Rattus norvegicus: one gene and its partner. The protein of the gene in region 1 purifies or fractionates together with the protein of each later gene. This does not show direct contact. Links are inferred from orthologs where the notes say so. Each region holds a gene or a part of one and is shown in the gene's direction. Other genes may lie near its edges.

Region 1 (3,565 bases):
ACAACACATTAGTTTTCTTTCCTTTAGGGTCCATTGCTAGAAAGTTATTGTGCTCCTTTGGAGACACTAGAGAACAGAGTTTTTCATGATTCTTAAAAAGATTCCAACTTTGCACTTTGTAGATGACTGGGGACTCTTGGCTCTGGGAGCCCCGGTGAGGTTAAAAATAACCACTGCAGATGGTGGCCGTCCAACTTCCATTTCTGTCACCGCGATAAAATACCCTGAAGAAAAGCAACTTGGGGAAGAAAGGGTTTGTCTTAGCTCACAAATCTAGGGTACAGTCTGTCATAGCAGGGACGTTGGAATGGCCGGCAGGAACTTGAAACAGCTGGGCCAATCACACCCACAGCCAAGCTCAGAGAAAATGAATGCAGACAGGCTTCTCATGCTTGGCTTATTCTCTTTGTTTATATGGTCCAGGACCAAGCCCAAGAACAGTGCAGCACAGGTCGAGCTGGGTCTTCCCATAGCAATTAAAACAGTCAGAGCAACCCCTGCAGATATGTTCACAGACCAACGCATTCGAGACAGTCCTTGACTGAGGCCCTCTTTCCAGGTGTTTTTTGATTGTGTCAAGTTGACAATTAAAACTGATGTCCCGGGGTTGGGGATTTAGCTCAGTGGTAGAGTGCTTGCCTAGCAAGCGCAAGGCCCTGGGTTCGGTCCCCAGCTCCGAAAAAAAGAAAAAAGAAAAAAACAACAACAACAAAAAAAAACCAAAAAAAAACCCCCAAAAAAACTGATGTCCCAGAAACTTCAGAGTTGTTGAGAGCACCTGTTGCTCTTGCAGAGGACCGAGGTGTGGACCCCTCACCCCCATGGTGGCTCACAACCATTTGTGACTCCGGTTTCAGGGGATCAGATGCCCTCTTATGACCTCCAAGGGCACTAGTCATGCACACGGTACACATACATACATACATATGGGCGGAACATCTATACACATAAAATCAATAAATAAATCTAACAAAACAAGACAAAACTGGCCATCTCAGCACCCATATCTAATTTTCTTTACATCAGTGTTAGCTCTGTGTCAGGAAGCCTTCTGCGCATAATTCCCTGGCTAAATCAGTTTAAACCATCTGATAGACTTTTTCTGAGTTGTCTGATAGACTGTTTTTGAGTTGGGATTCATTATATCGATGAAATAATGTATTCGATTCAATTAATATATTCACATCAATCATTGTAGATTTGATGTGCGTAAGGCAACAGGAATCAGAGAGACATTGCCTCCAGGGAACTAACATTTTAGAAGCAGGACAGGTCAAAAATCAAAGGAGAACAAAGAGCATCAAGTCTGTGCTGTGATGTGTATCATGAAGGGAAGTCATTAGTGCCTTTGTGGAAGATTCGGCATGATCTGAGAAACTGCCTTGGCTTGAAATGTCTATGCATTCTGGCAGGGATGTGATTTTCTTACTTCCCACTTCTTTGGACCAACACCATTAAAGTCAGTTGTGTCCATTCCCGATTTCAGGCCTCCTTATATAGGATAACAGATAGTTACCCTGCAAAGTTCCTGCTGGTCTTGGCTAGGATCATCCAACATGGGTATTACCCTTTTCTCTTTGCTCTGTTTACTCAGTCACCTTTGGGGAAACCTGGTCAGATTAGCAAGAGGCCCTGCTTTTAGTGACGTAAACAAAAATTGCCACCAGGGGGCAGAAGAGTTCAGACGTAGTCTCTGCTCAGGAAACAAACAAACAAACAAACAAACACAAACAAACAAACAAACAAACCAACCAGAGAGAAAATAGTTGGGATCTGCGGGTTCGCTGACAGAGGATGGTGAGAGGAAGTGGTGGCACTGTGACCTTAGCTCTAAGAGAAACTCTTAAAAAAAGAATCGAAAGCTTAGTTTTCATTTGGTCTTTTTGAAAATGAGGGAAAGCTAGGTGAGGACAAAGTGCTGAGCGATCACGAGGCTGGTATCCTGGTGGCTCGGCAAGGGCACGGACATGTCTCCTTACTAATTGCGCTTCCCCCCCGACCAGTGTTTGTCCAGCACGATGCTGCTCATCTCTTCCTTACAATCTGGAACCTGACTAAGGACCAGATCACGGACATAGACTTGGTAAGGGCTGGGATCCGGAGAAGTCAGAGATGTTCCTGGTGGAACCTGCTCCACTACTGTGTGCGCTATTAGCGAGGAATGCGCCACTGCTTGGCATAGCTCCCTGGCGTGCACCTTTATGGGCCCGGAAGCAAAATTTTGTATCGGCTGTTTCTAGAACTTCTGTCTGAAAAAAACCACGTTCCCTGAGCTAAAGTGACTTCTAGGTCATCTTACCTATCCCGGCTCTCTACTTGCAGGCAGAGCGGCTGCAGGATCTGTTCACAATCTGGACCGAGGAGTCCCTGATGTGCGTGGGCTGTGGAGCAGAGAGCAGCAGGAGGGGCAAGTTGCTCACTCTCTCTCTTCCTCTTTTTGATATGGATTCAAAGCCCCTAAAAACACTGGTGAGAGACTCATTGTTGGTGACTCATTGTTGTGTATCCTGAGTTGACCCTTGCCTCTATGACTTGCCCTTGGATTTTTAAAGAAGTAACTCCTGGGCCAGCAAGATGGTGCAGCGTGTAAAGGTGCTTGGTGCTAAGAGTTACGGCCCGAGTTCGATCCCTGGGTCCCACAGGGTGGAAGATGGGAACTAGAGAACCAGTTCCTGTTCTCTACTTGTAGACCCTGGGCCAATCTCTCCCTTGACTTGGGCGAGGGTACTTTTTTCTGTCCCCTTCTGCTTTCCTCATGCTCTTCCTCTGGCAAGTCCCCTCCAGTTTTGTTCCTCCCTCCAGTGGGCACTTTCTGAAATTCTGCCCAGTGTAACACATGTGCCCACTTGGGGGGAGTGGGGATTAAAGGGTAGCCTGGGCTTCCACTAGCAGTGGGGGAGGGCTGTCTTTGAGATGGGAAACAATGATGCTACCTTTTGCTTGTTCTCTTGGTTGGGGCAGGAGGATGCCTTGAGATGTTTCTTCCAGCCCAAAGAGTTAGCAAGCTCAGACAAGTGCTTCTGTGAGACCTGCGGGAAGAAGACGCCTTGCAAACAGGTACTCCTTAAACCCAGACTCTTCCCTGGTCTGGATTGACCCATGGTTTCCTGACAAGTCTTTGCAGACCAGTCAAGGGCATTTCATAATGGCTGACCTAGGGAATCTGGGTACCTGGAGTCCTGGGGCTTCTTATTTGTATAACTTCAGACTTGGCATCTCAGACCATATCATTGAGAGGGACAGGAAGAACTTTGTAGAAACAAGAAGAGAAGGTTTGAGGACAGTAGGTAGAGTTTTTCCTCCTGGGTGAGTTGCCTAGAATACATCCCACGGTTCCTGAACCTGAGCAGAGGCCTTCTGGAGACGTGTGGTGAGTGACACTCAGTCACATGACTCTTGAAGGCGCTCTGCACTTCCCTTATGGGAAAGAGCACATCGCCACCCTTGACCCTGCTCTGAACCTGCCCGTCTCAGGTGCCCATAGACTTCATCTTCATTCTGACTTTGCCTCTTCAGGCTCAGAAGCTGACTGGTTTCCCTCAGACCCTGACCATCCACCTCATGA
Region 2 (3,565 bases), on another chromosome or scaffold:
CAGACAGTAAGTAAATAAGCCAAGAGACTATGAATGATTTGGTCCAATAGAATATCCAGCAGAGAACGGATGTCTTTCCCATTCAGAGTCCAAATGGCGCAGTGGGAGATGTTGCAGAACCTTGACAGTCCATTTCTGGACCAGTTGCATGAGCTCTACTCACAAAGCCTCCTGCCAATGGACGTCCGACAGCACTTGGCTGCCTGGATTGAAGACCAGAACTGGTGAGGACTTGGGGGTTCAGGTGGCTCCTTCTGAGCACACAGGGTCCATCCTCGAGATGTCCTGGGCGATCGCAGAGCAGCAGGTTGTTTATGGAGCCCTTGTTGTGTCGGTCCCCAGGAGGGAAGCTGTACTAGGCAGTGATCATTCCAAGGCCAACATGCTATACTTCAACATCCTGGACCAGCTGAACCAGTGGGACCACTACAGCTTGGACTCCGACTACCTTTTATTACAGCATAACTTGCGAAAATTCAATCGGGACATTCAGGTACTTGGAAGAGCTGGGAATAAGAGTGTGGGACTAGCCTTTGAGTCTAGAGTAAGAGCTGGGAGACAGAGTCTGGACATGGGGTGTCACTGGCAGAGTAATGGACTGAATCTAGATTCAGGGTCTATGAAGGAGAAAAATACTGGAGACACTGAAGGCAGGGTCTGGACTGGGCGGTCATTAAGGTAGTTAAATGGGACCGTGCTTCTGTTTTTTTTTCTACTTAGATGTTTCCCAATGGCCCTACCCAGTTGGCTGAGATGATCTTCAATCTTCTCCTGGAAGAGAAAAGGATTCTGAATCAGGCCCAAAGAGCTCAAGAGGTAAGAACAGTGTGGTACTGAGAGATGGCTTAGTGGTTAAGAGTGCTGACTGCTCTTCCTGAGTTCAACCACAGTGGGATCTGATGCCCTCTTCTGGTGTGTCTGAAGACAGCTACAGTGTAGTCAAATGAAAAAACAAAACAACAACAACAAAAAAACAAATAAATAAAATCTTAAAAAAAGAAAGCAAGCAAGAAAGCCCCTGGGACAGCAAGGCACCTGGCAGAGACTCAGGGAACTCCTCTCAGACCAGGCTCTCCCCCACACTCTGCAGTAAAATTTCAGGTCCTGATATTAGGGATGAAAACTCAAGAGTTCAGGTGGGAGTGGGGTGTGTGACCCATACCATTAATCCCAGCATTTGGGTCCCACAGCTTTAATTTGAGTCACAGAGGCAGGTGGATCTCTGTGAGTTTGAACCCAGCTTGTTATATGTCATGAGTTCCAGAACAGCCATGGCTACACAGAGAAAGAAACTCTGTCTTAAACAAACAAACCAGTCAGAGTTCAAACATGTTCAGAACCTCTTACTTCAGATGCAGCCCAGGCCAGCCCCTGAAGCGGCAGGGGAGAGCCAGCAGCAGCTTGAGATTGAAACAAGAATCCTGGATTTACAGACTGCTGTGGAGGTTGGTGGCTGTGGCAAGTGTTGGGTGTGGAGTGGAGATCGAAGCTTTTCTGCCCTCAGAAAAGCCTCACTGGGGTCCCATCTCCTCCACAGGCGCTGGTGAGATCCATCAGGCAGCTGAAGGATGTGCAGGATGTCTTCAGCTTCAGATACACAGTTCTCAATCACAGTAGGTCCACTCAAGGGGCCGTCTTAGGGGCCAGTGGGAAGGACAGCAGAGGCTGGGTGCTCCATTGAGCAGTGGTCACCTAGGGCCCCTTATGTCAGCGTCAGTAGTCCCATCGATATGTAAGGCAGAGGTGTGGGGTGTGTTGTGGAGGGCAGACTAGAGATGTGATTGAGGAATAGTTCGCAAATGGTAGAGGGATTGTGTAGTAAACTGCCTTAGCAGGTTGAATGGGCTTCTGGTCCATCCAGAATTTGCCTGTGGGACTCCAGGTGTCTGTACTTTCTCTGGTACTCCCTTCCTCCCCATCCAGCATTTTCAGTTTTTGACTGAGACCCTGGACAGAAAAGAGCAGAAGGAACATGTGGTCTGAGTTTTGGTCTTGCCTTTCAGAGAAGACATCGTCTTTGGACCCCCATCAGAGCCAACAGCGGCAGCTTGTGCAGACAACAGCCAATGAACTGGACAGAATGAGAAAGGTGGGGGCTGGGCACAGAAGGGGCAGCAGAGGGGGTTGAGGGGGCAGCAGAGGGGGTTCAGGGGGTATCAGGGAACTGGGGGGCAGCAGAGCGGGTTTGGGGGCAGCAGAGAACTGGGGGAGGGGATCAGGGGGCTATGGCCTCACCATCTTAGTTTCCTGTTCTCTTCATCGGCTGGATGGGGGTGGTGAGAGGTACTTAGCACTCATGAGTTCTCCTTCCTAGGAGGTGCTGGACATCTCCAAAGCCCTGGTTGGACGATTAACCACCCTGGTCGACCTGTTGCTGCCAAAGCTGGATGAGTGGAAGGCTCAGCAGCAGAAGTCCTGCATTGGAGCCCCAGCACCCGAGCTGCAGCTGGATCAGCTGGAACAGTGGTAAGAACCTCGGGGGCTGGTGCAGTGAATGGAGGACAGTGGAGCTCAGTGGGAGAGTGCTCCTCTGCACTCCCAAGTCCTGGGTCTGATGTCAGCACAGAAGGAGAACAGAGAGGCAGGAAGGGACAGGGAAACAACAGCCAATGATGCCTCCGTGTCTTCTGCCGCTTCTCTGGTTTGACTGTGACTATATACTCTGCTGTACGCTGTCCTCGCCACTCAGAGAGTCCTGGTCCAGTCTTTGCTTTGGTAAAGAAGCAAAGGAAAGTACTGGGTTAATCCGGTCTACCCTGTTTTGTTTGCTTTTGAGACGATGTCTCACTATGTGGCTTTGGATACCCTGGAACTCACTGTGTTGACCAGGCTGGCTTTGAACTGACCATTTCTCCAGCCTCTGTCTTCCCAGTGTTGGGATTAAAGGCATGGGCTACCACACCCACTTAATAAAATAAATCCTTAAGAGAATAAGTGGAATATTATAAAATGTGCATTAAAATGCTCCTTAATGATTTATTTTTATTTGCAGGTGAGGTTTTGCCTGCATGTGTGTGTGTCTGTGTGATGGTATTAGAGACCATTGTGAGCCACCATGTGGGTGCTGGGATTTGAACCCAGATCCTCTTGCAGAGCAGTCAGCGCTGAGCCATCTCTCCAGACACCATTTCTTTTTTTTTTTGGTTCTTTTTTTCGGAGCTGGGGACCGAACCCAGGGCCTTGCGCTTCCTAGGTAAGCGCTCTACCACTGAGCTAAATCCCCAGCCCCAGACACCATTTCTTTAAATTGTCTACTGTCTACTACTGTGTGTCTGTATGATGGGGAGAGCGCGCGTGCGCGCGTGTGTGTGTGCGCGTGTGCGTGTGTGTGTGTGTGTGTGTGTGTGTGTGTGTCTGTGTGTGTCTGTGTGTGTGTGTGTGTGTGTGTGGTGTGTATAGAGCTCAGAGGAGAACTTTGTGGGGTTCTCTACTGACATCTTTATATGGGTTCCAGGGACACAACCCAAGTAGCCGGGCCTTCTTTTTTTTTTTTTTTTTTTTTTTTGGTTCTTTTTTTCGGAGCTGGGGACCAAACCCAGGGCCTTGCGCTTCCTAGGTAAGTGCT

What was found. Proteins that work in one complex are often made in the same cells at the same time.
Region 2: the proteins of Usp18 (region 1) and Stat2 purify together in Homo sapiens (affinity purification with western blotting; 6 studies listed by BioGRID and IntAct, with this or other methods). This does not show direct contact. The link is inferred for Rattus norvegicus from reciprocal best matches to the Homo sapiens genes USP18 and STAT2.

Annotation. Positions count from the first base shown.
Region 1 is NC_086022.1:156,153,783-156,157,347, forward strand, and holds part of Usp18 (ubl carboxyl-terminal hydrolase 18), read left to right. Parts: intron 1-2,003; coding exon 2,004-2,083; intron 2,084-2,322; coding exon 2,323-2,469; intron 2,470-2,961; coding exon 2,962-3,057; intron 3,058-3,516; coding exon 3,517-3,565. UniProt on the Homo sapiens protein: Interferon-induced ISG15-specific protease that plays a crucial role for maintaining a proper balance of ISG15-conjugated proteins in cells. Regulates protein ISGylation by efficiently cleaving ISG15 conjugates linked via isopeptide bonds.
Region 2 is NC_086025.1:1,290,053-1,293,617, forward strand, and holds part of Stat2 (signal transducer and activator of transcription 2), read left to right. Parts: intron 1-86; 5' UTR 87-93; coding exon 94-224; intron 225-342; coding exon 343-493; intron 494-720; coding exon 721-816; intron 817-1,337; coding exon of another isoform or gene 1,338-1,352; coding exon 1,353-1,445; intron 1,446-1,537; coding exon 1,538-1,613; intron 1,614-2,003; coding exon 2,004-2,089; intron 2,090-2,314; coding exon 2,315-2,466; intron 2,467-3,565. UniProt on the Homo sapiens protein: Signal transducer and activator of transcription that mediates signaling by type I interferons (IFN-alpha and IFN-beta).